7 linked regions of the Mus musculus genome follow. The protein of the gene in region 1 interacts with the protein of each later gene in a pairwise test. Links are inferred from orthologs where the notes say so. Each region holds a gene or a part of one and is shown in the gene's direction. Other genes may lie near its edges.

The links.
Region 2: the proteins of Kxd1 (region 1) and Ift20 interact in binary tests that used the Homo sapiens proteins (3 or more experiments, as listed by UniProt). The two-hybrid records come from large-scale screens. The link is inferred for Mus musculus from reciprocal best matches to the Homo sapiens genes KXD1 and IFT20.
Region 3: the proteins of Kxd1 (region 1) and Gabarapl1 interact in binary tests that used the Homo sapiens proteins (3 or more experiments, as listed by UniProt). The two-hybrid records come from large-scale screens. The link is inferred for Mus musculus from reciprocal best matches to the Homo sapiens genes KXD1 and GABARAPL1.
Region 4: the proteins of Kxd1 (region 1) and Map1lc3a interact in binary tests that used the Homo sapiens proteins (3 or more experiments, as listed by UniProt). The two-hybrid records come from large-scale screens. The link is inferred for Mus musculus from reciprocal best matches to the Homo sapiens genes KXD1 and MAP1LC3A.
Region 5: the proteins of Kxd1 (region 1) and Tcea2 interact in binary tests that used the Homo sapiens proteins (3 or more experiments, as listed by UniProt). The two-hybrid records come from large-scale screens. The link is inferred for Mus musculus from reciprocal best matches to the Homo sapiens genes KXD1 and TCEA2.
Region 6: the proteins of Kxd1 (region 1) and 4930579G24Rik interact in binary tests that used the Homo sapiens proteins (3 or more experiments, as listed by UniProt). The two-hybrid records come from large-scale screens. The link is inferred for Mus musculus from reciprocal best matches to the Homo sapiens genes KXD1 and C4orf46.
Region 7: the proteins of Kxd1 (region 1) and Ccdc185 interact in a two-hybrid assay, tested with the Homo sapiens proteins (2 studies listed by BioGRID and IntAct). The two-hybrid records come from large-scale screens. The link is inferred for Mus musculus from reciprocal best matches to the Homo sapiens genes KXD1 and CCDC185.

Annotation. Positions count from the first base shown.
Region 1 is NC_000074.6:70,520,381-70,524,427, reverse strand, and holds the start of Kxd1 (kxDL motif-containing protein 1), read left to right. Parts: upstream 1-1,247; 5' UTR 1,248-1,365; intron 1,366-4,047.
Region 2 is NC_000077.6:78,535,015-78,539,160, forward strand, and holds the start of Ift20 (intraflagellar transport protein 20 homolog), read left to right. Parts: upstream 1-1,346; 5' UTR 1,347-1,562; intron 1,563-3,495; 5' UTR 3,496-3,724; intron 3,725-3,819; 5' UTR 3,820-3,821; coding exon 3,822-3,948; intron 3,949-4,146. UniProt on the Homo sapiens protein: Part of intraflagellar transport (IFT) particles involved in ciliary process assembly. May play a role in the trafficking of ciliary membrane proteins from the Golgi complex to the cilium.
Region 3 is NC_000072.6:129,536,192-129,539,511, forward strand, and holds part of Gabarapl1 (gamma-aminobutyric acid receptor-associated protein-like 1), read left to right. Parts: intron 1-1,299; coding exon 1,300-1,378; intron 1,379-2,378; coding exon 2,379-2,497; intron 2,498-3,320. UniProt on the Homo sapiens protein: Ubiquitin-like modifier that increases cell-surface expression of kappa-type opioid receptor through facilitating anterograde intracellular trafficking of the receptor. Involved in formation of autophagosomal vacuoles.
Region 4 is NC_000068.7:155,275,055-155,278,573, forward strand, and holds Map1lc3a (microtubule-associated proteins 1A/1B light chain 3A), read left to right. Parts: upstream 1-1,309; 5' UTR 1,310-1,552; coding exon 1,553-1,592; intron 1,593-1,903; coding exon 1,904-1,959; intron 1,960-2,043; coding exon 2,044-2,150; intron 2,151-2,420; coding exon 2,421-2,583; 3' UTR 2,584-3,019; downstream 3,020-3,519. Other genes in the region: Pigu (phosphatidylinositol glycan anchor biosynthesis class U protein precursor), read right to left, coding at 3,482-3,519. UniProt on the Homo sapiens protein: Ubiquitin-like modifier involved in formation of autophagosomal vacuoles (autophagosomes). While LC3s are involved in elongation of the phagophore membrane, the GABARAP/GATE-16 subfamily is essential for a later stage in autophagosome maturation.
Region 5 is NC_000068.7:181,678,797-181,683,096, forward strand, and holds the start of Tcea2 (transcription elongation factor A protein 2), read left to right. Parts: upstream 1-1,500; 5' UTR 1,501-1,610; coding exon 1,611-1,679; exon of another isoform or gene 1,680-2,441; intron 2,442-4,300. UniProt on the Homo sapiens protein: Necessary for efficient RNA polymerase II transcription elongation past template-encoded arresting sites.
Region 6 is NC_000069.6:79,627,743-79,631,878, forward strand, and holds the start of 4930579G24Rik (uncharacterized protein C4orf46 homolog), read left to right. Parts: upstream 1-1,336; 5' UTR 1,337-1,434; coding exon 1,435-1,614; intron 1,615-3,386; coding exon 3,387-3,542; 3' UTR 3,543-4,136. Other genes in the region: Etfdh (electron transfer flavoprotein-ubiquinone oxidoreductase, mitochondrial precursor), read right to left, coding at 776-809.
Region 7 is NC_000067.6:182,746,626-182,750,616, reverse strand, and holds Ccdc185 (coiled-coil domain-containing protein 185), read left to right. Parts: upstream 1-1,436; 5' UTR 1,437-1,494; coding exon 1,495-3,360; 3' UTR 3,361-3,491; downstream 3,492-3,991.

The DNA of each region.
Region 1 (4,047 bases):
GATAAGATTTTAAATCCCTGGAATAGAATGGGGAATTTAAAGACTATGGTAAGGTATACAAAGATTGTAACTCTCTGAGTATCCAGTTATGGGAAAAAGCCTGAGGTTACTTATGATCAGGACTTTAAAAACTACTACGGGGGGCTGGTGAGATGGCTCAGTGGGTAAGAGCACCCGACTGCTCTTCCGAAGGTCCGGAGTTCAAATCCCAGCAACCACATGGTGGCTCACAACCATCCGTAATGAGATCTGACTCCCTCTTCTGGAGTGTCTGAAGACAGCTACAGTGTACTTACATATAATAAATAAATCTTAAAAAAAAAAAAAAAAACTACTACGTTAGCTGGCCATAGTAGTACATACCTTTGATCCCAGCACAGAGGAGGCAGAGAAAGACAGATCTCTGAGTTAAAGAGCAACCTGTTCAAAACACTAAAGGGCATTCCTGGACAGCCGGGACTACACAAAGAAAGGAGTAGGAGAAGAAAAAAAGAAATCAAATACTGCCTTGTTTGCAAGAAATCAGCATGCCAGCCTCTGCCTTTTTTTCTATGCTGAAATCCTTTTTTTGCAGAAGGCATATTAAAAACGGTTTCTCTTATTTGGACGTACAGAAAAAGTCCCAGAAAAACCAGAGATAAAAAGAGAAATCTTGTTTCATAAAACCAAAACTGGCCGGTCCTGGTGGCACAGGCCTTCAATCCGACCACTCAGGAGGCCGGTAGATCTCTATGAGTTCGAGTCTGGCTTGGTCTAAATAAGCAAGTCCAGAACAGGCAGAGCTCTGTTACACAGAGAAACGGTCTAGAAAAACCCAAACAAAACAAGTCAAATCCCTGCATCTCTTTCACCAGACTCTTTATTAGAGAGAGGGGATTATTTCTCACAATACCGAGTACCAGGCCAGCCTGGGCTACAGCGATACCTCAAAAATCTGAAAGTCACACATGGTGGCATACAATGGCGTACACGCCATTTCAGGATGACCAGGATTTTAAGGGTAACCTAGGCTCCATGGCGAGCTGGAATCCAGCCTGAGTACATATGACCTTGTCTTTTTGTTTACTTTTCGAGATAGGGTTTCCTTGTGTAACACTGGATTGATAAATAATACATTTAATTGCCCACTTCCGGATTGCTTAAAAGCCATGTTTGGGACACAGCGCGTGCGCGTATCTAGTGCTGCGATTGCTCATCCTTTTGGCGTTCACGTTAGGGCTTCTACAATTTGGTCCTCCCGCCTCCTCGCGGTGAGTACGCGCAGGCTCCTAGGCGCCAGGACAGGGGGCGCTCGTGGACGCTCTATGATGACGTAAGCGCTAGGGCGCCCTCCCGGAAGCGCGAGCCAGGCCGCCAGATGTGCAGGTGCCGAGGCTGGAGCCGCCGGGGCCGGGCAGGGCGGGAACTCGGGGCGTCAGGAGGCCACGGAGGGGAGGGAGGGCCCATCCTAGCTCGGGGACACAGCCTCAGTTTTCCCGGATTCGCAGCGATAGCGCGGGCCAATCTAGATGGAAACCCTAGTTGTGTGACCTGGAGCCCTGAGCGGCTTGGGGTGCGCGTGTACCTCAGTTTCCCCGCTCAAAGGGGCGGGGACCCCGTGTTTGTTTGAGTCACGCCTTATCTGGTTTGGTTCTTTTGTTGTTGTTGTTTCTCCTTCAGAGTTTGGCCGGAAGAGTTGAAGTCCGTTTAGAGGACTCGGGCCGGACGGCTCCTTGTGCTCCTACTGTGACCTTGAGGCTCAGAGCCATTCCAGTCAGCCTGACATTCCTGGGGGAGAGTTAGTGTTTCTTTAGATGATAGCTCAAATTAGCCTCCAGTTCCTGGTAATCATCCTGCCTCGGCCACCCAACTATAAAGAGAGTCATTAAAATTTTGAGATAGCAGCCCAGACTGGGGCCTCTGTCTCCTTGAAATGCATCTTCCTCAGTCTCTAAAGTACTGGGATGACAAGCGTGAGTTACCTCATCTGCTTGTGTTGAGTCTTGTTTTGGATTAGGGTCTCATTTGTTCCAGGCTAGTCTGTAACTCACAAAGCAAAAGTGACCTGAAACTTCTGCTCTTACTGTCTTCTCTAGCACTGTGCACGGGCAGGGCATTCACCACACCTGACTCTTATTTGTTTATTTCACGTATGTGCATACATAAACTGTCGCTGTCTTCAGACAAAGCAGAAGTGGGCACTGGATTCCCATTACAGATGGTTGTGAGCCACCATGTGATTGCTGGGAGTTGAACTCAGGACCTCTGGAAGAGCAGTCAGTGCTCTTGACCGTTGAGTCATCTCTCCAGCACGTATTTATTTAGACAGTCTTATGTGTCTCAATCTCGTCTCCCACTCATTATGTAGCGCAAATTAACTTTAAACTTACAACAGTCTTCTAGTCACCTGAGTGCCAGGATGGCAAACATGAGCTGTCACACCAGGCTTCTGTTTTAAAATAGGGTTTCATGCATCTTAGGGTGGCCCAAAACTCAGTATGTACAGCCCAAACTGACCTTAAGCCCTGAAGGACCCAGGGCTTCTGCATGCTTCCAGTTCAGTCCCAGACCAGGACTGATACCTGATCTAGAACAAAATCTCTGGAATTAAAATTCTGCATGAGAGATGCTAGCTGTTAACCTAGTTGTTGACTATGCCCTTTAATCACAAGTTACTTTTCTTCTACTTTTTTTTTTTTTTTTGGTTTTTGGAGACAGTTTCTCTGTGTAGCCCTGGCTGTCCTGGAACCCACTCTGTAGATCAGGCTAGCCTCGAACTCAAAAATCCACCTGCCTCTACCTCCCAAGTACTGGGATTAAAGGCTTGCGCCACCACTGCCTGGCTGTTTTTCTTCTTTCTTAAGATAATTTACAGTCTATTTTGGGAAATGGGGGCATGCACCTTCTCATGAAGGGGTTTTCTGCCAGGTGTGTTCCAGGGCTTGAACTGGAGTCCTCAGTATAGACAGCAAACATCTTTTAGGCACTGTCTTACAGGCCACCCACCTAAAATAGGGCCAGTGTGTGTTGCTCAGGTGGGCCTGGGACGCTCTATGAAGCTCTGGTTGGCCATGAAGGCTGGATCGTCCTGCATTCTCCCCTTGTACTAGGGTCTAAAACCCTGGTTTGTCCATGGTCATGCTTGATTACCGGGTGACTGGACTTGGTGTGGTTATTGGATGGAAAGAGTTGTGTCCTGCCCATAGCTAGTTTCTTTTTTCTTTCATCTTTTTTTTTTTTTTAAAGAAAGCATTTAATTGGGGTTGGCTTGCATTTCGGAGGTTTAGTCCTTTTTTTTTTTTTTTTAATGTACGTGAGTACACTGTAGCTGTACAGATGGTTGTGAACCTTCATTTGGTTGTTGGGAATTGAATTTTTTAGGACCTCTGCTTGCTCTGGTCAACCCTGCTCTTTCCCATTAGCCTTGTTCAATACGGTCAGCCCTGCTCCAATCGGCCCTGCTCGCTCAGTCTCTGCTTGCTCAAAGATTTATTATACATAAGTATACTATAGCTGACTTCAGACACACCAGAAGAGGGCGTCAGATCTCATTATGGATGGTTGTGAGTCACCATGAGGTTGCTGGGAATTGAACTCAGGACCTCTGGAAGAGCAGTCAGTGCTCCTAACCACTAAGCCATCTCTCCAGCCCCAGGACCCTGTCTTGAAGGGAGGGTGCACTTGATGTGTTAACTGAGCTGGTAACATGTTTAGGGACCCAGGTTCAGTCTGTAGAACCTAAACACAGAGCTGAGCTCAGTGGTGAGGTGGGGAGCAGGTACAGGCAGACCCTGGAAGCTGGTGGAAGAATGGACTGCAGAGATGCCACAGAGCACTTGCTGGACTGGAAGAGGATCTGAGTTTTGTGTCCTATCTGTGGCCACCTGTAGCTAGCCCGGGTGTCTTGACACCCTAGGCTCTGCATCAGGAAACTCAGTCTCTGTAGTCTGTCCTCTATCATGTGAGTACTATAGCCGTGTTCCATAAAAAAGACTGACCTGAAGCTAGGCAGGCACAGAGCTTAAGAGAAGGTGGAGTGACCGCCTTGCAGAACCTAGTGTGGACAAT
Region 2 (4,146 bases), on another chromosome or scaffold:
CACTCAGTCGTTTCCTGTTATTCCTCATGTTTTACAGGTAAAACCCACAACACTGGTCCTCAAACAAGAATTAAGTATATACATCAGCTTGCTAAACTAAAACTGACCCTGAAGAGATTTCAGTATGTCCTTGGAATGGTCGGGAGTGGGGGGCTTTCAGGAAGGTCTATATTGGTGCTATATTAAGTAGCATATCCTTTTGATGGCTTAATTGCTTTCAGTGATGGAACATGGAGGAAACGAGCTCCGGGAGTCTGACAGTAACACTACAATGCTAGACTGGTGAGCGACTGACCGCCTTACCTCAAAGCGGGAAAAAAATCAACTCCTCAACAAGTTTTAGCAAGTTCCTCACATACTTTGTGTGCAGTCCCATTTCCCCAGAATCAAGGAAGCACATAAACACGTTCTGCCAAATCAAAGAAACCCAAGTGACTAGGCTTGCCAACTGAGGAAGTCAAATCCGGAGCTAATCTATTCTTTTCCTCCTAAGAGCTACTTTGAGTCCTAGATGACGTCAGACCAGATTCCACCCAGACCAATTAGGTCCAAGAGTCCAATGGCAGGTGACGCCCTAGAAAGAAATTTCTGAGAGGATGAAGTTTCCACTGATAGTTTCAGGGCTCTTTCCTCAGGACTTCGCCTGTGGATAGAGGGGTAATCCTGGGGCTGGGGAACATACACGTGTCTCTATGGGAACCTAATGCGAAGCCAAGCAGAACAAAGCGCAAACGATCACGGTAGTTCAAAGACTTGGGGTTCTAAAGGAAGGACACGAGGTACGGCGAGGTGGGAAGGCTGATTTTGGCAAGAAAGGTCAGAAATCGTGGAAGCGGCTCTTATGTTTCACCCAAAGGCTCTCCAGTGGAAATGGAGAAACATCCCATGTCTCTCGTTGCAGTGTAGGCTGCTCTCCCGCCACACCCCTCCTCTTCTGAAAAACTGAGATCCGTGGTGCCTCCCATCCCCAGAAAAGACCTGAACTTCATCCCCGCGCGCCATCCCGTGCCTTTTGCCCAGGACTCAGCAGAGCCTGTCCTTCCCCTCTGCACCCGCACCTCTGGCTCTCACCGTCCGCGGGGACGCCTCTCCGAGTCTCAGTCAAGTAGCAAGCGGACTCGGTGCCACCTCTGGCCTGCGGCTGCCTGCAATCTCGGCTGTGAGCTCACATCCTGCGCCCGCCGACTCCGGAGTTACAGCCCAACCCTACAGATCGGGAAAGAGACTACAAGACCCGGCATGCACAGCGCGCGAGCTAGCAGTGGGTCGAAAACTTGACGTTTGACTTCCTTCTACTTCCGGGTTCGGGAACAAATCTACTTCCCGTGTCGTAGTCCCCGCCCCCTGAGCAAAGGCTTCTGGGCCTAGTGGGCAGTTATCGCGTGTTGCATCTATTTCCCAGCAAGCACCGCAGGGTGGGCGGATGCTGGTGCTTCTGGACTCGGGGGTGACGTGTGGCTCCTAGATCTTGTCTCCGTGGCAGCAGCCGGTTGCAGTTGCCGGAGAGAAGCTTCTACCGACAGTCGTCAGGGCCGCAGAGCGCTGCCGAGGCGGCTCGTCAGGTAGGTCGGGGACGTGGAGGACTTGGGACGGGAGGAGGCCGACGTGACCCAGCGCCGAGGATTGGCTGGACCGGGTGGAAAGCGGCGGTTTCCCTACCTCGGAGTTTTTAGGGATCGGGTTTACACTCAGCTCAGCCTGGCTCCCTCGATGTCACCGGTGAACCGAGGTTCGGACATTGCAGGAGTATAATTTAGTAAAGACAGCCGCGCCATTTGCCCAGTTCTTCCTGTGTCTACGCCTTCTCCAAACTCCACAGCTACAACTATTTGTTGTGCCTGCGGACCTGGGAGAGCCAGGGAGCGTAGAGCCAGGCACAGCCTTCATGCTTAGGAAACTCAATCCCACGTTCCTGGAGCATATTTGTGGTGGGAGTTAGGGGTGGGCTGGGGATCTGATAGCCCGCTATGTACCATATCTATCTTACCCATCTCTTTAAACTGTCCTTTCCAGCCATACTCTCGGTCCAATCCAGATCCATGGCAATCGTGTTTGGCTCCTTTCTTCACTTTTCTCCAAAGTGCTGCATTAAGCATTACTAAATTCTGTCAATTCAGACATCATCTGATCTCTGAACTCCCGTTCGGCTTCAAATCTTTTCTTCTGTTACAGCCTTCTGTTTCCACATGAATTCATTCATTCTGCAAACATTATCAGAGTGCCACTTACCTGCAGGCAGCCTGCTTAGAGATGCTTGGCTCACAGTGAGAAATTTGGAAAGGACGCCTCTATTCTGCTCTTCCCTGTTCCCTCTGTTTGGCCAAGGCAGTGAGTGATCTTTCCAACTCTGATCAATAAGCACTGCCGAAATCCACTGCTAGCGGTTATCATTATAAAAAATAATCCAAGTTCAGCTGGGTGTGGTGGCGCATGCCTTTAATCCCAGCACTTGGGAGGCAGAGGCAGGTGGATTTCTGAGTTCGAGGCCAGCCTGGTCTACAAAAGTGAGTTCCAGGACAGCCAGGGCTACACAGAGAAACCCTGTCTCGACAAACAAAACAAAACCCAAGTTCATTTACTCATCCAGCTATAGCCGGTTGCCAGCCTTGCTCCCTCTTGCTGTTTTGATCCCAGGACCCTTTGTGTCAAAATCTTCCAGCCTTAGGACGCCCCCATATGCTTTTCCCTATGCCCACAATGTCCCTCTCCCTTCTCTTAGAAGATTTTCTGGACGTGTTTAGGTCCCAGATTGTTTTTTCTGAAGGCTTTTGTTGACCTCTCTGCCTACTTGAGTTATGTCCTCCTGTAGAATCCTGACAGAGCACTGAGCGCTGTTCCTCATACCCTGATCACAGTTTGTGTTTATTTGCTTACTGTCTGTCTAGAGACACTATGTTCACTCTGTCCTTGGAGCTGGGATTCAATAAGGGTTTTTGTTTTTGATAAATGCATGTTAACTCAGAAGGCAGTAGGAGTTCAAACAAGTGTTTGCAGTCTCATGTCATATGAACTCTTCCATAGGACCTGGTCCAGTTAGTCCCTAGGAGCTCTTAAATACTCAAACTATCCAACTAGAACAACACAGGAAGGCAATTGTTTTTTTGTTTTTTGTTTTTTTGAGACAAGGGCTTGTGTAGCACAGGATAGCCTGGAACTCAGTATGCAGCCCAGGTTGGTCCTAAACGTGTGTCAGTCTTCTAGCAACACAGTGAGTTGCTAGAATTAGAGTCACGCATGACCATAGCTAGCTTTTAACTCTCATTTTAAAATTCATCCTTTTTGTTTTGTTTTGTTTTTCATTTCAGGGCATGCATTTGAAAAGCCTTTTTGGGACCTTAAACAGGGATTTATGACTATGCTTTTATCTCGCTCGCAGCTTAGGCCAGATACACCCAAGTGAACTGAAATTGTCTTTTCTCCTTGCTTAGTGATATTTCTGTAAAAATCACTTGATGCAATATAATCCTTCAGGTTCACGTGTCTGTTTTCCTCCAGCTAAGCTGTGCTGCTCCAGGGCAGGCACCATGTTGCATTCATCTTTACGCCCAGCATCTAGCAGTGTCGGCATGTAGTAGGCACTCAAGAAATGTATGTTGAATGAACGATGTCTGTGACAAGCAACTGGACTTTCCTCTTTCCTGACCCTTGCTCCTATGACATACCTCCTGATTGCCACTGTCACCCCTTCAAAGCAGACCTCTAGGGCTTCCTGGAAGGGAAACAGGTGAGGCTGAGAGCTGGAGGCAGAGGGATGGGTGTATGAGGAGGGCTGGGGTGGTGTCTGGGATGAAATTCAGGTCGCTGCTGGTTTCTCTGCAGCTATGGCCAAGGACATCTTGGGCGAGGCAGGGCTGCATTTTGATGAACTGAACAAGCTCCGAGTGTTGGACCCAGAGGTCACCCAGCAGACTGTGGAGCTCAAGGAGGAGTGCAAGGACTTTGTGGACAGTGAGTACCATCTGGAGACACAGTGTTGTTCTGCTTTGAGCAGTTTCCTTACCTGACCTTGGCCATTGTTCTTGGGTCTACCAGAATGAAGTTGCGTGCTCTCTGGATTGAGCCTGGTCTCTGGGTTCCCATGTGTACCCAACCTTCTCTGCTTGCCCTCTTACACTGCCATGGAGTCCCACATTTAGTGCCAAGCAA
Region 3 (3,320 bases), on another chromosome or scaffold:
CAGTGTTGTTTCTGCTTCTTTGCTTTTGTGTATTTCCCATTTCTTATCTCTAAGATGAGATTTTCAAAACAAAGAATCTAATGTTAATATTCTTGTCAGATATTTTCTGTTCTCTGAGCCACTCTGTAAACATCACCGAAGATTTTGTGTCTTTTTCTTTGTTACAAAATGCAGAATCTTTAAAAGTGTTATGAAAAAACTTAATGTCGACATTGAAAGTCCCTTAAAATTCTAACACGGTTACTAATGCTGAATAACTTAGTGTGTGACTCTCAAAAAGTGTCCCTCATTATAAAAATTCAAAATAGCTTTCACTCAGCAATGAACACTTTTCTGCAAAGATTGAAATCTGAACCACATTACGTGCGTGTGTATGTGTATGTGTGTGTGTGTGTGTTAGTCATCACTGTAGCAGTGTCTGAGAAGGTCAAATTCTATAGGGAAAGAAAGCTACTGACTTCAGAAGTCTTTGTCCATGCTCTTAGATGGCCCCAGTCTTTGGCCTGGTGGTGCGTCAAACTATCGTGTTAGAAGCATAGAGGCACAGATGAGGGAGGATTAGTCTCTGGCTCAAACACCTAAAACCTCCATGATGCCCCACCCCTTAAAGTTTCTACCACTTGCTCATAGCACCAAGGCAGGAGCACTTTTTTTTTTTTTTTTTAACACAACGGCCTTTGAAAGGCAGTGAAGTTCTAAATTATAATGTTGTGCTTGTAACAAATGGCATTTCCCCCTCTGTGTAAGTGTGTACACAGGCGAGGGAGCATGTGTGTGATTGCGTGTATGTATGTGGAGGCCAGATGTTGGTATCTCACACAATTCTTGCTTACTCTTCACATTACTCAGTGTGAATCCAGAGCTTGCCCCTTTAGTTACTCCAGCCAGCCAGCTTGACCCAGGGATCTCCAGTTTCTGCCTTCCCAGCATGGGGACTGCACATCCAGTGGGCACTCACATGGAGTTTGGGGATCAGAACTCAGTCTTCACACTTTGACAGAGAGCGCTTTTGTGACTGCTTCTTCTCCTGGGTCTGTAAATGGTATTTTAGAGGAAAAATAAATAGGTCATCAGACACATCTTAGAAACACAGAACATCTCTTCAATTCTCTAATAAAATACCGTAGGGTGAATGACTTTTATAGCCCTTTATAGGTAATTTGTAGTTGTTTAAACTCAAGGAGTATTGGAAATGGGGACTGAAAAATGAGACTGGACAGCATGGGCAAATTTCAGGTATGTAAGGAAAAAGACAATGCTAGGCTGTCTGGTTTTCATCCCAGTCTCCTGTTCTTCTAGGTCATCGTGGAGAAGGCTCCTAAAGCCAGGGTCCCTGATCTGGATAAGAGGAAGTACCTTGTGCCCTCCGACCTCACTGGTAACCATCTTTCTCTCTTCTGACCTTTCATTCCAGGCAAAGCATTCTTGATCTTTAAGTCTAAGTTGGTGACTATATGGGTTGTCACTGCATGTAGGTGGTGACCTTGCATGGTTTCCTTCAGTGAGCTGGCCAGTACAGATAGGCATACTCTGCCCTCCTGTTTCTAGTTCTGTTTGATATTTCCCAATGCCATACTCATGTACCCTAGTCATGGAGACACAGGAAAGCAGTACTCTGGGAGTAAAGAACAAAAGTTTGTCATTTATACCACTTTAAAAATCAGCCATGCTATCCTGAGGTGGATCGATTTATATCAGCTCCAGCCGTGTCTTGGGTATTGTCACCAAGGAGGATCACATTTCAGAGATTTATATCCAAATACTTTATCTTTAAATGTGCTTCTGTCTGGGAGATGAAAACTGCAAAACCTAGCCTACTTTCTGTTTTGAATTATATGTATTTAGAGTTTACCTTGTTCTTAAAGAAGTACCAGGTGCCTTCAGGATGCCCTGGAAAGATTCTTTTAGATGCAGTGTTCACGCATTTGCCTGTCAGCCTCCCAGAGCTTCATTGTTTGCAGGAAGAAGTTGCGTGGGCTCATTGTCCCAACATTTGCCCCCATGGTACTGGGAGGGCCAGAGTGCAGTGGATCTCTTCCTATTGTTAGCTCTTAGAGTGCAAATGGGACCCCAAAGGAATCAGGAGTCCATTTAGATGGGAATGCTTGGATCTACATTGTACTCCCCCACAATAGTCGTGCTGGATAGATTTGCTAATATTGAGTCTGAAGATGGATGAGGAAGAAGGGAGGGGACAGTCCCAGTGTGGTGGGTCAGACACTGTACATGCCTCCTTTTCTATTTTCCCACTAAGGCTCTCGGACAGCTTTTGGGTCTGAAAAGCTTGTACTTACACAATAGATTTTATTTTGTTTTCTGAGGTTTCTCCTACTAATCCTTTTTCATTTCTCACCCTGCTCTCTGTTTCCTTCCTGTAGTTGGCCAGTTCTACTTCTTAATCCGGAAGAGGATCCACCTGAGACCTGAGGACGCCTTATTCTTCTTTGTCAACAACACCATCCCTCCCACCAGTGCTACCATGGGCCAGCTGTATGAGGTAATGGTCTTGATCACAATACCCAGCAGCCTGGTGTCCCTTCGCTCTGGTTCCAGGGTTTGTTAAACACCTGGGAAGTAGGGCAGGAGGTGTTATTTATGGGGATCCTCTTACACACAGCACTGTGACGCTGGGAGATTAGATACCCTTTGTCCTTTAGGGACTGAGCACCTACTCGATTTAATCTTTTGAAATCTCTCTCTAGTCTTTCCTGACTGTAGTACTTTATTGCCGGTTCCAGTGGTTCTTGGTAGCAAAGCATCACCATGCTCACCCTTCTGTTACTGTCTCTGGAAGCACAGTTTGTTAGTGAACTGTGCACTCCATTTCCTGCCTGTCAGCCATCCACATCTAGCAATAGATGGAGAAAAGAGACACCAGCAACCCTTGGCTCCTTTTCCGTCTGAACCTGGAGCCCTGTCTTCCCAGTTAGCTCCCACATAAACGGCCAAGATTCGGCTTAGGACAGGCACATCTGGAAGCTCTCTTTCTAGAGCAAACCGGAGGCCACGTAAGAGTTTCCATTATCTGAGTACAGGGAATGAGTTAAAGTGTCAAGTTAGGATCTGATTTGGGAAAAACTGTAGTGAGGACTTCATATACAAATAATGTGACCTAAGATTGTGACTGTACTACTCCTTGTACGATGTCACACATGATACTGCCTTCCCATTGTGCTCCAATAGTCAGATGCACATCTAGTAACCCCTGGTCTAGCCCTTATTATTCCATAGCATATATTCCCGTGAGTATGTATGCCAGTAGATGCTTTGTGGTTTCTGTGCTCTCCTTGCTAGAGTGAGGAGTTTTTTTTTTTCCTTTT
Region 4 (3,519 bases), on another chromosome or scaffold:
CCACATCCTCATGCTTGCGGGCAAGCACCCTACCTGACCAAGCAGACAATAATATCTTTCCAAACAAATCCAGCTCCCTAAGACATTTAAAAAGCAAAACAAAACCCAAAACACAAGGTCTCACTATCTAGACCAGGCTGGCCTTGAACTCAAGAGACCATCCCGTCTCTGCCCACAGAGCTGGGGTTAAGGAGGCACCGCCACCCAGCCTCTTTAAGGCAATCTCAGCTGAATTCTTGTTACCTTAGCAGCTTGTTTTTGTACCAATCACTACCATTTCTGTCCATAAGCAGTTGTTTAGAATTACTCAAGCGTGCATCTGTTAACTTGGTTCCCATCAAATTTCTTCCCTTTGAGCTGTATGTTTCTGAAGTACAAACTAACTTTTTTTTTCAAACAATGGTCCTTTGTAAATTCTTTTGTTTTATCTTTTTTCTTCCTTACTTCAACTCTAGCCCATCCTCCTGCCTCAAACTCCCATAGAGCTAGGACTACAAATGAGAGCCAGCTACATCTGGCATTGATTCTGGCTTTCAATCGATTTTTAAAGTTCTTCAAGGGGCCGCCTCTCCGTGTCCGTCCAGTCCCTCTATCCCCTCCACCTCCCGCAAAACCTGAGATACTGAACTTAAGCCTTCCATCTGCTAGGCAAGTATCCTACCCTGACCCTCGGTAACATTCCCAGACCATACTTCTTTCTATCCTACCAAGGGGCTCTACCTGTAAAATCTGACTTCGCGTGTTGTCAGTTCCGAATGTTCTCCATCTCATGGTTAACCACTTCTGATATAGCCCCCCCATTCAGCGATTCTCTCCTGCTTTATCTAAACCACCTATTAACCAACCTCACTCTGGAAATCTATGCTTTCTATGGTTGTTCCAGAATTCTTTGAAAGCCTGGGTGGGGGGTCTGGAGCAATGGTTCGACAATTAAGAGCCCTTGCTATTATTTCAGAGGACCTAAGCTTGATTCCCAGCAGTGCGATTAACTCCAGCCTAAGGAAATCCGATGCTATGTTCTGCATCCGCGGGCATACACTTACAGACACATTAAAAATTTTAAAACTCTGGGTGTTCCATCCTCTCCCCGCTCCACCTTCCTTCTCGAATGCTAAACTCGATGAAGGTGCGGTGAACTACTCCGCAGCGTCGAGAGACTGGATGGAGGCGACAAATGCCTGGCTTCTGAGTCTGTGGCGCCAAAGAGAGGAGCTTGCCATCGTGACGTCACAGAACTGTGACGCGCCCTGGAGCTCCGCCTCCTTACGACCTGCGCCGGGAATCCGGGCTGTCTGCGCCGTGGCGTCACAGGTCCAGGCAGGCGGGTTTTCCGTCGGCCCAATGGGAGCGGCGCGCCGGCCTCCCCTTTAAGGAATGTTGTGACCTGACGTCACCCAGGCGAGTTACCTCCCGCAGCCGCCACCGCCAGGCTCAGCGCGAGCCCCGCAGCCCTTGAGCTCGAGCCCCGGAGCCCCCGGCGCGCCGAACCGCAGACGCATCTCTGAGCCGCGCACCCCGGAGCCCCGGCTGCGCGCCCCGCCGGGCCCGCGCGATGCCCTCCGACCGGCCTTTCAAGCAGCGGCGCAGCTTCGGTGAGGCCCTGGGGGGCGAACTGCCATCGGGGATCGAGGGATGGGGGTGCCAGTCGACCCCGATTGCCGCAGGTGACGTCAGCCCCATGACGTCAGGCACCGGCCGGCCGGACCCCGGGTGGAGAGGCCGCAAGGCCTGGCAGGGTCGCCCGCCTCCCTACCGCGTCCCCCCGGTGGAGGGCTGCGGGGCCGACGGCCCCGGGGGCGGGCGCTGGGGCGGGGCGGGCCGGGAGCCGCCCCTCGGGGATCAGCGAGGCGGAGTCGCGGGAGGCCTCAGCACCGCTGGGCCTCACACAGAGCTCTGTCCGCAGCCGACCGCTGTAAGGAGGTGCAGCAGATCCGCGACCAGCACCCCAGTAAGATCCCGGTGAGTCTCTAGCACCCCCCAGCCACGCCCTGCCCTGCCAGGTCCCGCCCTTGGCTTACGAGTCCCCCGCCCACTCCACTCCAGGTGATCATCGAGCGCTACAAGGGTGAGAAGCAGCTGCCTGTCCTGGATAAGACCAAGTTTCTGGTCCCAGACCATGTTAACATGAGCGAGTTGGTCAAGATCATCCGGTGCGTGGGCAGCCTCCTACAGGCCTTGGGTGGGGCAGGGTCAGGTTCCACAAGAAGGGATGGAGTGGGGCGAGGGGACTGATTTGGGACACCGGGCCCCTGTTCTAGGAGGCTGGAAAAGACCAAGGTCGGGGTTGGGACGAGCTTCAGTAGAGGTGAGAGCCTCTGGCTGAGATGGACCGAAAGTGAAGGTTCAGTAACATTTTGGGAGGGTCACCTAGGCCTCCAGCAGGCAGCCTCCTCACCTGGCATGCCTGCCTGCCTCCACAGGCGCCGCCTGCAACTCAACCCCACGCAGGCCTTCTTCCTGCTGGTCAACCAGCACAGCATGGTGAGCGTCTCCACACCCATCGCTGACATCTATGAACAGGAGAAGGATGAAGACGGATTCCTCTACATGGTCTACGCCTCCCAAGAAACCTTCGGCTTCTGAGTCAAGAGGAGGGGAGGGGGGTGGCTGGGAGTTCTGGTCAGGTTCTCCCCAGGGAGGTCCTGGCTCCTAAACTAAGCTATTTCAGTCCCCAGTGGATTAGGCAGAGATGTGACACCCACTCCCCCCCCCAGGTAGGGGCCACCAGCCAGCCTACCACATCCTGGGTAGGTCCTGGGCCAGTCATGTTCGGGTTGCTCTTTTGGGTGCTGGCTGGGTTGGGAGTGGGTGGGGAGCAGCATCCCTGCTCTGTGGGGTTTGTCATTTTGTTAGGCCCTTGCCTGTCTGCCCATCTTGCCCCTCATCCACCTGAGGCTTTGCCTCCTGCCAGGACCTGCCCCACCCCTGAAAGGCTGGCTCCCCTTGTCCTGACTCGGTGTATGGATCTGTGGTCATTTCCTCTGCAGAAAGAATAAAGACTGCTCAGGCCTGCCTGGCCCTTTGCCTCCAGCTGCTTGTTTGGGAGCAGGGAGGGCTGCTAGGTGACTGTGTTCACACACAGAGACAGACGCGTGTTCCCAGAAACCCACTCCTTAGTACAGGATAGCACGTAGTATTAGGGGGCCAAGCTCACTCCACTCCAGGAATACATGTCATCAGAACAACAATGAAAAAAAAAAGATCCACACATTTATTAAGTAGTCACAACCTATAAAGCCCTGCTCACCGGCTGCTTCCTTTCTGTGCACAGTCACAAAGTGGGGGTCCAAGTGGGGTGCTCCTAGCTTCTCCCCATGGGCCTTGTTGCCAGCTATGAGTCCCCTTTGGTGCCAGAGATTTGTGACCCTGGACTTGAACTTCTTCTGCCTGAGGACGCGCCTGCTGGCAACTCTGGATGAGGGACCTGGCCCAGCTTCTGGCCCTTCCCCCTCTTGTCCATGCAGCGCTGTGCCAGCCAGGGCTACTTGAGCACAAGCATGGCCTCAGTGCCGTCCTTGG
Region 5 (4,300 bases), on another chromosome or scaffold:
TTTCTAAAGTTGGAATTTTCTAAGGTTGCAATGTGGAAATATCTGGCTGGTGAGTACCAACCCCACAAGTAAGGACCCCTCAGGATTGAACACACCTTTGATCTGGCTTCTTGTGACATAGCTCCCCTGCTGGTGATCTACTGGATTTTCCTCAGGAAAGAGCCTGTTCTTGAGCAGATCTGTGGGTGGCTCCTGCCACCTACAGGCTGCTGTTGCTCATCATTGGGACCAGTCAGAGCTGGGACTACTCAGTAGGCAGTCCCTTGATGGGGTCAAGTCATCAGCCAAACACAGCATGGCTGAAGGTCCTGTGGTTCTCTTACTGCCTGTCTTGTGGTAGGGTCCTGAAAGCATTAATTCAGTACTCAAACACAGGGTTCCCTTTCCCAGAATTTTTGTTGTTGTTGTTGGGTTTAGCTTAGAGCAAGGGCCCAGCTCTCAGTAAAGGGCAGAATGAGAGGTGGTATGAAACTAGAGAGCTGGGTTCAGCCATCACTGCACCTCTGGAAAAGCTTTGTTGCCTTCAAGAAGTTCCATGCCTTTTTCTTATGGTAAAGATGTCATAACTGATTAAAACGGTCAGCTTAGGTCATTTGTGTATGTCATTTGCACTCTGGCCTCCTGGGTACAAAAAAATTCAGATTGACTTTTAGTACCAGCACACCTGCCACCATGTATAGGACAGAAGAAGAGCAGAGCACCATTCTCCCTTTCCTGGACGTGGTTAGGGTCTTCCTGAGGTAATGCCTCAGTAGCGGATTGCCTCAGTACCCTGCCCTGTTCTCAGTGTAAAATATGAATCGGAGGCTCCTGATCGCAGCCTCTGTCATTGTCACTTCACAGGTTGGGAGACTGAGACGTACAACAATGTGCAGAACTTGGGGTTTATACCGTTAGGTTGACTTCAGAACCTGAATAGTTCTCCCCACTCCCACCCCCCACCCCCGAGACAGGGTTTCTCTGTGTAACCCTGAATGTATTGGAACTAGCTCTGTAGACCAGGCTGACCTTGAACTCACAGGGATCTGCTTGACTCTCTATCTCTCGAGTGCAGGGATTAAAAAGGCATGAGCCTACATTGCTTGGCTAAAGCCTGAATTCTTGCGGAGAAACCGTTTCAGAGTCCCGGCCACCTGCGCAGCGCCAAGAAAGCCCCCAAACTCGGCTTGGTACCAAGTGAAGTGTGTGGAGTGAGCTGAGTGACTCTCGGAAGTGGAGGCGATCTAAGTGCACTAGTGAAGGCGCGACCGGCCGCCAGGGCAAGCTGCTCAGATGGGTTGAATTAAAGACCTGAGCGCAGTAGGGTTGTCCTTCTCCCTCCTCTAGGTCCTCCCTCCCCCTGGCATTCGGTGGGCACGTGGGGCCGTGGTCCGGCGGAGATACCTGCGGAACTACCTTTTCCAGCGGGCAATCAGGCCGCAGGCCGCAGGCCGCGCAGTCGTCTGGGAGTTGTGGTCCCGGGGGCGGGGACTCTTTTTTTTTTTTTTTTTTTTTAATTCTGTCGCACGCGGCCGCCAGGCGGAGGTTTGGACCGCGGATCTAGGCGGCGGCGGCGGCCGAGGTCAGGCCGGGCGGCGCAACCGGCACAACCCGCCGCCACCGAGGTAGTGATGGGCAAGGAGGAAGAGATTGCTCGTATCGCCCGGAGGCTGGACAAAATGGTGACCAGGAAGAACGCGGTGAGGGGCGCGGGCCGCCAGGACCCTGGGGCCCCGCTCCGCGGAGACCGTCTGAGCCTACCCTCGGGCAGAGTGATACCTAGCCCAGTCAGTCGAGACCCCTTGCCCAGGCCCGCCCTCCACCCTGTCCTGGGACTGCCGCTTCGCAATGGACGCCGCGTTGACCGAAAGCTACCCTCTGTTCGTCGCCCAGCGGTGGCCGCGGGCGTCCCTGGCCCAGCCGTTGTCTCCCCTGTCTGCCCCCCACCCTTCAGCACCAGGTTTCTCTTAATAAATTTTTCCCCTGCTTAGTCAGGCCTCAGGCAACAGCAAGTCGGTTTGGGCAGACAGTTGAGCCTGTGGCGTTGAGACCCCTGGCCAGTGTGGGCTTGGCAGTCCAGCCTGCCTTCCGACCATGGTCACCTGCGTAGCCTTTGAGGAGCATCCTTAGGGGATGATGGCACCTGCAATCTTGCCTTCCGTGGGTGGGAAGGGACTTAGGAGGTGGCTTTAAGACTGAGTGACTCTAGAGCATCCGCAGCACCGCTCTGAGGGCAGCCCAGATAGTGGCTGAGTCATGAGTCTGTACAGCCTCCCCAGGACTGTGCTTGAAGTAGAAGGCTGCAGGACAGCTTTTGGGGATGAGCAGGATTGCTCTAGGGGTTGGAGGGCTGGGGTCTAAAACAGGAAGTAGGTTAAGTGCCCACATAAGCCTTTACACTGGAAACAGAACCCACTTTGCAATCATCTGGGCTACAGAGGCCCTGCTGGAGCTTCTTTCCGGTAAGAGAAAGCACAAATGACAAACTTGGAACTAAGGGTGGCAGAGATAGGATGGGAATCCAAAGGGAGACCCAGTAAGGATGGAAGGCCACAGATAGGACTGTACAGTTGAGAAGGGAACCTGCAGAGGTTCCAGTAGTCCTTGAGAGAGGCTCCTTGGAACAGCTGATGGTTTATCTGGGTTTTCATTATGGGAGTGCAGGGCTATTGTGGATGCATGCCCCTGGCTCCAAGGATCAGGTCTTCTTAGCAAAGTCAGCCACCTCAGGGCTGATTGGTGTACAGCTTACTAACTTAGGGCCATGAAACAAGGCTGCAGCCTGAGCAGATAAGTCACACAGATTGAAGGGTCAGCCCCAGCCCCTACCACGGCTGGATGGGTTGGTTTTCTCTGCCTCTTTGTGGCATATAAAGACAAATGAGCTCATAGTGGAAACTTGGAGGACAGCAAACACAATAGTGTTGGGTGTTAGAAGAAAAGGCTGTCTCAGTTGTAGGAAGGAGGTGTTTGAATATAACCTGGAAGTGGTAAAGAGAAGAGCAGCCTTAAGCAGAGTGAGGTTTAAGGTAGGAACCAGAGGAGCCTGCCTACCCTTGAGGTTCAAAGAACAGAGCTTAGGCAGAGGAAGAAAATCAGGGTTTTCTGTTACAGTACCTAGGAGGAGGGTGGTGACCAGTCTGGAAAAGAGATAAAAAGTGAGACTATGGGATTTGTAGGTGCTGGCTTTAAGAAAAACTTCCCTTTGTATATTTAATTTTATTTATTTTACATTTGTTATCTCGGTGAGTGTGTAAGTATGAGGACAACCCCTGGAAATTGGTTATCTCCTCCCACCATTTGGGCTCTGGAGATTGAACTTAGGTTGTACAGCTTGTTGGCACCTTTATCTGCTGAGTCAACTCACCTGCCCACCCCTTTGATAGTGGGTATTGAACCCAGGGCCTTAACTTACCAAGTGAGAGCTTTATCACAGCTGTGTCTACACAGCCCTCTCTTTACTTTGTTTTAAGACAAGGTCTCATTAAGATGCCCATGCTAATCTTGAATTCACTCTGAAACTCAGGTAAGCTTTGAACTTTTGATCCTCTTGCCCCAGCCTCCTAAGTATCTCTGAGATGATAAGGCCTGTGTCACCAGGTTTGGTAGTTTTCAATTAGCAATAATTGTGCCTCTGATAAACCTTGTTGGCTATGGTGCTGTTACTTTGCAAATCTGTGGCTGGAGTAGAGATTCCTGAGAGTTTAGGTAGAGGCTTTTAAGGTAGGAACAGGAAGAGCCTGCCTACTCTGGAGGTGCAGCCTGCCTGTAGATGCTGGGGAAAAGCCAGGGCAGAGGAAGGCAGCCAGGGTTGTCTGTTACAGTACCCAGGAGTAGTGCTGCCCTGATGGGTAGGCGCTTTGAGGAGAGGCTGCTCTCCCACCACAGCACAGATGGACCAAGGTTAAAGAACCCGTGCTATACCCGTGAATGTCCTTCCGTGTTGAGCAGGAGTTGGGGCATTTATTTTCTCTAGTAGTTTGTTCAGTGTCCTCCTGTGGTTAGTTACCATGATGTCTGGAGATCACCGTAGATGCAGGATGAGAAACCCCCTGATCTTTGAGGAGAGCACTGTTGAGCTGTTTGCCTCTATTCCTGCCCTATGGCAGGAGCAGTAAAAAGCCCCTGTTGTGATGTAGGAACAGGTATGGAGTGCTCTGGGAATCTCAGGGTAGAGGAGTGGCTTCTTTCTGACATGTAAGTTGCCCCCTGGTGATGACAAAGAGGTAGGATTGTCCACTATGCCCCCTGACAAGTGTTTTCTGTGTAATCCTGGCCATTCTGGAACTCCTGGCCTCACTCTGTAGGCCAGGCTGGCCTT
Region 6 (4,136 bases), on another chromosome or scaffold:
ATCTAAATTAGACTGTAAACTGATGGCTCTCAAAGCATACCATCTTCTGTGGATAATAGATGCTTGGTTTGAATATACACCATATTGTTTAAACAAGTATACAAATACTTGTTTAAAAATCCCACAGCCAAATTAACTTCAGTAAAGATTTATATTAAGCCAGTTACAACAGAATTCAAGATCCTCTAAACTTCTGTTTGAACGAGGGGGTTGTTTTTAAGTAAAAACTTAAAACTATCCTGCAACTGCTTTAAGAAACACCCATAACAGAAACGCCTGGTGTTAACTCTGGATAATGCAGAAAAAATTCCGACTCCAGACATAATTGGTAATATATGAGTTAATACGATATGAGAGCTCAGACTTCAATTAAGATTAGACTATTATGGCTGCAAAGTCAGGTCAGAGCCAAGGCGAAAACCCACACAAGTTTTTCTTTCTTTCCCATTCCTAATAAGGCGGCAGATAATACCTGAGCCTTGAGGTAAAGATTAGGAGCGGCATTTGGGGGAACTCCACCGAGGGGGCAGTGTTGACAATTTTCTCTTCTCATGACCTTTAACCTAGATGATAATTCTGCCAACTGGGGCAACTCCAAGGTCGGTAAGGTAGGGTCGGCCACCAGGCGCTGACAGCATTGACCTTTGCCCTAGTTTAGCCTAAGACAATAGACAAGGAAAGAGATGCTGGCAGTACCCCGGGTGTGGCCCCAGTCTTGTTTTGTCCCAACTTATCCACCTTGCTCCTTCTGTCCCCACCAGGAGTTTCGTCTCACCAGGGCAGGACAGCTTGGTTAGTCGCACCAACATGTTCAAAGTGACCCGGAGACTTGACCAGATACAAAGGAGAGAGGCGTGGGTCTGCGGCTTGCCGAGGGTGCTGGACTTCTAGGCTACGAGGGGCGCCATCACCTGCCAAGAAGCCCCGACTGCTCAGCTTCTGTCAGCGTCTGGGCTCTGCCGACCGCCCTTGCTTCGCGGCGTACCCGCCCCTCTTCTGCTTTGCGCCGGCGCCACAGAGGACACGAAGGCCAGTAAGGTTTCCGGGTCACATACAAGCCAGGAAAAGGCAGAAGACTCCATCTCCCAGTCATCCTCAGCCAGGAACCTAGTGTGCAGAAGAGGCCGACAAGCTCTCGCGTGTGCGCATGCGCCCTAGAAGCATAGCGAGGCTGATTTGCTAGGCATTCTGGGAGTTGTAGTGTTTAGCTCCTGGAGCTGTGCGCAGGAGCCTGGTGACGCCTGGCTTGATATCTGATTGGCTGTCTGGAAAAAATGAGACGTACTTGGGGTCCAGGGCAGAGACAAACGAGAAGATGGGGCGGGACTCCGTGTGGGAGGAGGCGGAGCCTATGGGCTTTGGGCGCGAGCGGTCGAAAGGCAGTTGGTGAGGGTTCGGTTGCTTGATCCGGTCCAGTAGCCCCAGCTCACTCCCATGGCTGACTCTGAGGAGTTTCGGGCTTCTTCGCCGCCGCCGCCGCCTCCCTCATCTCCGTCGTCAGGCGCCTCTTCGTCGTCCCTCAGCATGCCAGTGAGTTTGGGCTGGCGGGATCCGAGCAGGAGTCCCGGTCCAACCGTGGACCCGCTGGAGCAAGTGGAGCTGCAGATCGGAGACGTGAGTGTCGCCGTTGCGGCTGAGAGCTGATTGCAGCTAGGGTGCTCCTGCCTGCGGTTCTTGGAGTTGAGGGCTAGCCTCGGCTCTCTCTTCCCGCATCTTTCTTTCCTTCTCCTTCTGCTAGCGGTCATCCGCAGCCCCGCTGCCAGGATCCTCTCTCCGCCTCCTCCCATCCCTCGGAGCACTTTGGGCGGTCATAGCTTGCCTCCTTGCCCATTGGTGCTTTCTAAGGGACTCGAGCTTGTGCTTCTAGTTGGCCACCAGCCCAGGGCCAGCTGGTGATGCTGTTGTGTGTCGCTTACTTGGCTCTGTGTTGGACTTGAGTGGACCAGGGCTAATCACAGCCGGCAGATGGATTTGATAGGACAGTTTAGAACAGAATCTTGCAATGCAAAAATTCTGTAAAGTTTTTGTTCAATCTCGAATTCCCAGAAATAACTTCCTGACCCCAACACGTATAACGCTGAGGGGTTGGAGGGTCACAGCGGCACTTTATTTATTTATTATTAGGTATTTTCCTCATTTACATTTCCAATGCTATCCCAAAAGTCCCCCATACCCTCTCCCACTCCCCTACCCACCCACTCCCACTTTTTGGCCCTGGCGTTCCCCTGTACTGAGGCATATAGAGTTTGCCAGTCCAATGGGCCGTTCTTTCCATTGAAGGCCGACTAGGCCATCTTTTGATACATATGCAGCTAGAGTCAAGAGCTCCGGGGTACTGGTTAGTTCATAATGTTGTTCCACCTATAGGGTTGCAGATCTCTTTAGCTCCTTGGGTACTTTCTCAAGCTCCTCCATTGGGGGCCCTGTGATCCATCCAATAGCTGACTGTGAGCATCCACTTATGTGTTTACAGTGGCACTTTATAAGGACTCTTTGAGAGGGAGAAAGGACTGAAGTATGTAGCAGACAATCTTCCTGGAGAGGGTTGTGGAATAACCACACAAAAGATTTGGAAACTAGAACTGGCTGACAGGTTTTTATTCTTTTGTCAAAAGAGATGGCTGAAGTATTAGTCCAGGTCCCTCCCCCCAAACAATACAGGTTACAAATAAATGTGAACAATAAATGCTGACATGATATAAAAAAAGTGTTATTTTATATTTTTTGGTGAAGAAAGCATTTGATTTAAAAGTGAGTTTTTCATAGCTGTGTGTGATTTTAGATGTTCTGTCAGCTCAGCTTAGAGTATAAGTTCTTTGATTTTATTATTTATTTACTTATTTATAGCTCAAAAATAAGTGTTCATGGGTGAAAATAGTGGAACAGGGCTTTTCTTACTTCGTTACCAGGCAAAGTGAGGAAGTCCTTTGGATGGCTCTGCCACTTTTAGTCAAGAGGTTTCCAGGTTGCCTTGGGGAAATATATGAGAGTTGGATGTGTTTTCTGTTAAAAATACTGACTTGTCATATTCAGTGAGTATTTTTATGGCAGGTATTCTTCCTTAAAGTTACGTTATGAAAAAATTTAGAGGCTCTGAGTGCAGCTTGGGTAGAGCTGTGTGCCTCCCCTGTTCTGAGACTTCGGCTTCAAGAAAGAACCAGTGTTTTTTTTTTTTTTTTTTTTTTTGAAAATTCATTTCTTTTAAAGAAAAACATGTGGGCATTTGATTGAAGGTTTTAAGCTATATTTAGACTATGAAGTTAGATGAGGATTTTTTTTTTTAAAAAGCGTGTGTGGGGTTCAGGGTGTAGCTCAGTGCTGGAGGTCCTGGGTACCAGTACCACAAACAAACCCGCTTGACTTTTCTTTCTTTCATTAAATTGTAGGCGGCGTTTTCATTAACTAAACTTCTGGAAGCCACGTCTGCGGTATCAGCTCAAGTGGAAGAACTTGCCCTGAAATGTACAGAAAATGCACGCTTCCTTAAGACGTGGCGCGACCTCCTGAAAGAAGGCTATGATTCCCTGAAACCCGACAACTGACTTGCCGATGTAGTCGCGTAAAGCCTTGCACAGGACCTATTTGCACGTAGAGCACATGGACGCGGCTGCCTGTCTCCAGGCATTTAGACTGAGAATGGGACTTTTCTTGGTATTCTCGACTTGGTGAAAGCAGAATACTGGGCTCTTTTATTTGCTTGTGTGTTTTCTCTGATATGGCAGTATTTTACCTTAGATGCTTTCTGCCCTCTAAGCTTTTGTCGACTCCTTTATGAGAGCTCATTCCATCCGTAAGTAATGTCGCAATAGTGCCTCCCTGCACCCAGGTCATCATTTGTTTTGTGAGAAGATGACAAGAATGCTTGAGTTGGGAGTTGAGCGCGGTGTGTCTCCTAAGGCGGGCGATGAGGATTTCGGGTGCGTGGTCCAGCTCCACAGGACACCTATTGGAAAACTGGCGGTGGCCCTTACTTACTTCCTTATCCCAGTGCCCACAGCCAGGTCACAACACTCACTGTCTGTGAATGAGACTCGATGAGTTAATTAAAGCTACTTTTGACTCCTGTCTTTTAGGATGAAGACTGTTTCTCTAAGAAAACTGTATGAATCTAAGCTTCATTGACTTGAAGGAAAAAT
Region 7 (3,991 bases), on another chromosome or scaffold:
CAAGGGAAATCTGCTGTTCACATTGCTCCCTCGGACCACACATTTGCCAGCGAGTCCCAACCAAATCATACTTAGCGCTGTCCTGGTCTGCCTGCTCCCGCCTTCTGCCTCACAGCATATTGAAGCTGTTCTTACAAACTGGAATGATGTTGTGGAACAAGTTTACCAACGTCTTTTACAGGGGCTCTGCCCTCACGGATCAATCATCTGTGGATGGTCCCAGACCCTTAGTTCCACCATCATGGCCTGACCCTGAGGTCCACCATCATGGTGGTTTAATGCCAAAACGTGCAGTTTGGAGGCATATATTCAGACCATAGCAACCCTAGAGGAGGGTAAACCCAGTCTTAGCTTGACCCGACAGAACCTGAGAGTCACTTTTCTGACATTTTACCCAAACTGGGTTAAAATTACATGAATCTAGTACATCTTTTCAGCTAGAAGTCTGCAGAAGAACTTTTAAATACAGTTAAGTGTTAAAAGCTTTAACTGGAACTTAGTAGGACACCATTTATTGACTGCATTCTGGTGGCAGGTGTTCCACACACTTCATTTCACCTCGCCTTCAAAGTAGCCCAGCTTTCCAGAACTTGGGCTCATGGGAGGAATGCGCTCAACATCACAGGGCTGAAAGCAGAAGATCCAGTCACTTGCCCTTTGGCAAGGTGGGGGGGGGGATCTCACAAAAGTTGGGGGGGGGGAGACAAATGGCCAATAAATGAAATCTTCGAGGGGCTATTTGAAAACAGTGCAGACAAAATTCATATTTTGATTTCTAAAAAAAAAAAAAAAAGCTGTAATTTACACATTAGAGGAAAACCAGAATTGCTTGTTGCTGTTCTAAAGTTCACAAAGGTAACTGTGAAAGCATCCCTTGGGCTTGCTAAGGCTCAGACCAGTGTGCTTCAGGGACCGTTTCCTTTCCACACCTTACATGCACAGAAGGCTTAGTGAGGTTGGTGAGCTGCTTAGCCAGGTAAGGGCACTTGTCTCAAAGCCTACATTCGATCCCTGGGACTCAGATGGTGTAAAGAAAGAACCAACGCCTACAAGCTGTCCTGAGCTGCCCACACACCAGTCATGGCTTCTACATGTCCATCCTCACAGACACACATAGAACAAACATAAAAATAGAGACGTGACTCCAAAGGACAAGCAAAATCCCCCTTCCTCAACACTACACTTTGCCCCTCTCTCCCACTAAACTCTTTAAGTTGGAGCCCTTGGCCTGGAGCTTCCACAATCCACTAATGGAAACACTGATGCTGTCACGATTCTATACACCACCCTTGTTTCCTAGACTTCCAGCCAGCTCATCAAAGGCCAGGTGCACTGAGGCCTTTAAAGACCAGATGGCACCAGGATGCATTGTGAAGTGGCAGGAGCGTCACAGGCCACATGGATCACAGGATCTGAGCGTGGGCTGGGTGTCTGCAGTGGCCCCCTGAAGGTCCGTCGACCTTCTGTAGACTCTGGGCCAGCCGGGAAGGGAGCATGGCCGGTTTCCATCTCTTCTCCCCACGGTCCTATGGGGAGCTCGGGGAACCCTTGCTAGCTGGAGAGCAGGAGTTCGCAGCCCAGCTGGGCTGGTCTGAGTTGTCTCTGAGTCCCTGGGCCCAGACTCCTGGCGCCGAGATCGAGACCGAGGTGCCCTGGGTGCACCCAAAGTGTTCGCCCACTGGGCGGTCCCGCCGGCGTGGGTATATGACCTTGCCACGAGAAAGCCACAGCCTGACATACGTGGCCCGAAGACCCTCGGACCGAGCCAGGAAGCACAGGTCCGGCAGCCTCTGCCTGGAAGGAGCCTGCGGGGAGGCACCAACCAAGTCCAGCAGAACCTGGCAGCAGCAGCAGCCGCCACGGGATCAACCCAGCCCGCGCTACCCTGCAGCCCGGGGAGATTCATCCCTGCAGTACATCCGGGAAGCTTTCAGTCCCCCGAATGCTGGAACGTTGCTTGTAGAAAACACACACCCTGGAGACCGGTGGGCAGTGCCGGTGGGCAGACGTGTAGGTCTCTGGTCTCCTTCCTCGGTTCTCACCGACAAGTCCTCTGTTCACTCCCTAGAGTTATGTAAGCAATCCACCCAGAATAGGAGTAACCGCGACCTGACTGAGTCCTTAAACAAGTATGACTGTCCCTCTGCCTCCTGCAAAGAGAAGAGTAGCCAGCACGCTCAGGTCCTCAAGAGCAAGCTGGACGAGACGGTTATATCTTTGAGGGACCAGAAGATCTTGGCCCTGGTGCTGAGCAGGCTCAAGAAGGCCCAGAGGATGCGAGAGCTGCAGCAACAGGCTGCAGTCGCCTGGGAAGAGCTGAAGCGCTCAGACCAGAAAGTTCACTTGACCCTCGAGAGAGAGCGCAAGCTGCTGCTGCTGCAGAGCCAGGAGCAATGGCAAGGACAGAGGGAACAGCACAAGCCTCAGAGGGGCCATGGCCATGAGCAGCCTCACCAGGGTTACAAGCAGCAGGGACCGCGGCGCGACCGCCAGGCAAGGAGCGCTGTTCGGTCAGAGAACGAGAGTGAGTGGATGGTTCAAGCTGACAACCCGGAGATCCGAGGCCTGGCCAAGATGGACAAGGTGCAAGCGCAGGCCGAGCATCTCAAACAGTGCCAAGTGCAGAGTCTGCGGGAGCAGGAGAGGGTGCTGCAGAGTGTTCGGGACCTGAACAGGCTGCAGCTGCAGAAGAGGCTGGAGATAGCGGGTCACAAGAGGGAGCATGTGATGATGGAGAGCCCGAAGAAGCTCCAGGAGAGCAACCTGAGCACGGTTGTCAACTTCCAGGCCCGCAAGGTTCTCATGGACTGCCAGGCCAAGGCGGAGGAACTCCTCAGGAAGCTGTCGCTGGAGCAGAGTTCCCAGAGCTCCCAGAGCTACCAGGACATCCAAAAGGGTCTGGTGAAGGAGCAGAGGCACAGAGAGCAGCAGGCAAAGGCCCAGACTGAGGCAGAGCAGTTCCAGAGAAGGAGATGGCATGCCGAGGAGGCAGAGGAGCTGCTCCAAGTGAGCAAGCGGGTGCTGGCAGAGCTGGCTGAACAGAAGAGCAGGCAGGCCAGGAGTCATGCGCACAAGACCACCAGGGACAGGGCGCAGCACCTGCAGGAGCTGAACATCCTGCGCGAGAGGAACCATCATATCTTGAAGCTGACAGCGGAGAAGGAGGAGAAGTGTCACATCAAGGGCATCAAGGAAGCCATCAAGAAGAAGGAACAAAGGTTAGCGCAGATGACCTCAGGGAAAGATCCCATCTTCCAGGAGTATCAGAAGGGTCCCGCGTCCTCCAAGATAAACCGCTGCTTTGACCAGGTGGCAGCAGAGCCCCAGCTGTCCGTGCACCTGCAGAGTGGAGTCTACTGAGAACCCAGGAGGAAGAAGGCACAGCCTGGCAGCCAGACAGAGACACCATCATGCAATTCCGCTTTATAATCCGATTTTAATCGAGCATTGATTTTTAAAAATGTATATAAAATAGCTGCATTTTCCTCCCATGAATTAGCTCATTGATTCTCTTGGATGGTGTGGGGGGGAGACTTGGGGGCAAGTACAAAATCTGTTTGACTTTGTGGGATTTCAGTGTCTCTCAAGGAATCTAGAAGCACACATCAGGCCAGAGTTAGAGGAGCCAGAGAAGAACGTGCAGTTAGAAATACGGTTTTATGATGGGACTTGGTAATTCTTTTTTCTATTCTACAACCTGAGAGAGGAGAAATATGGAGTGTGAAGCTGGAGCAGTTTCCCAGGGGAAGAAGCAAAGGTGGGCTGGGAGAATCTCTCAGCAACTAGAATGGAGACTCTGGTAGTGTAATCCTTTCTCCAGAGCTCGTGGTGCAGTTTTAAACTTAAAAGCCTATAGTATAGACACTCCCTTAATGTAGCATTTGCCACAGACCTCCATCCTTTTTCTATCCGTGGAATGATGTTCTGTGATTAGATGCCTTTTCCTTCTTTTCCTTTCTTGTTTTGGTAAATGGCTGCATAGTTCCTCCCA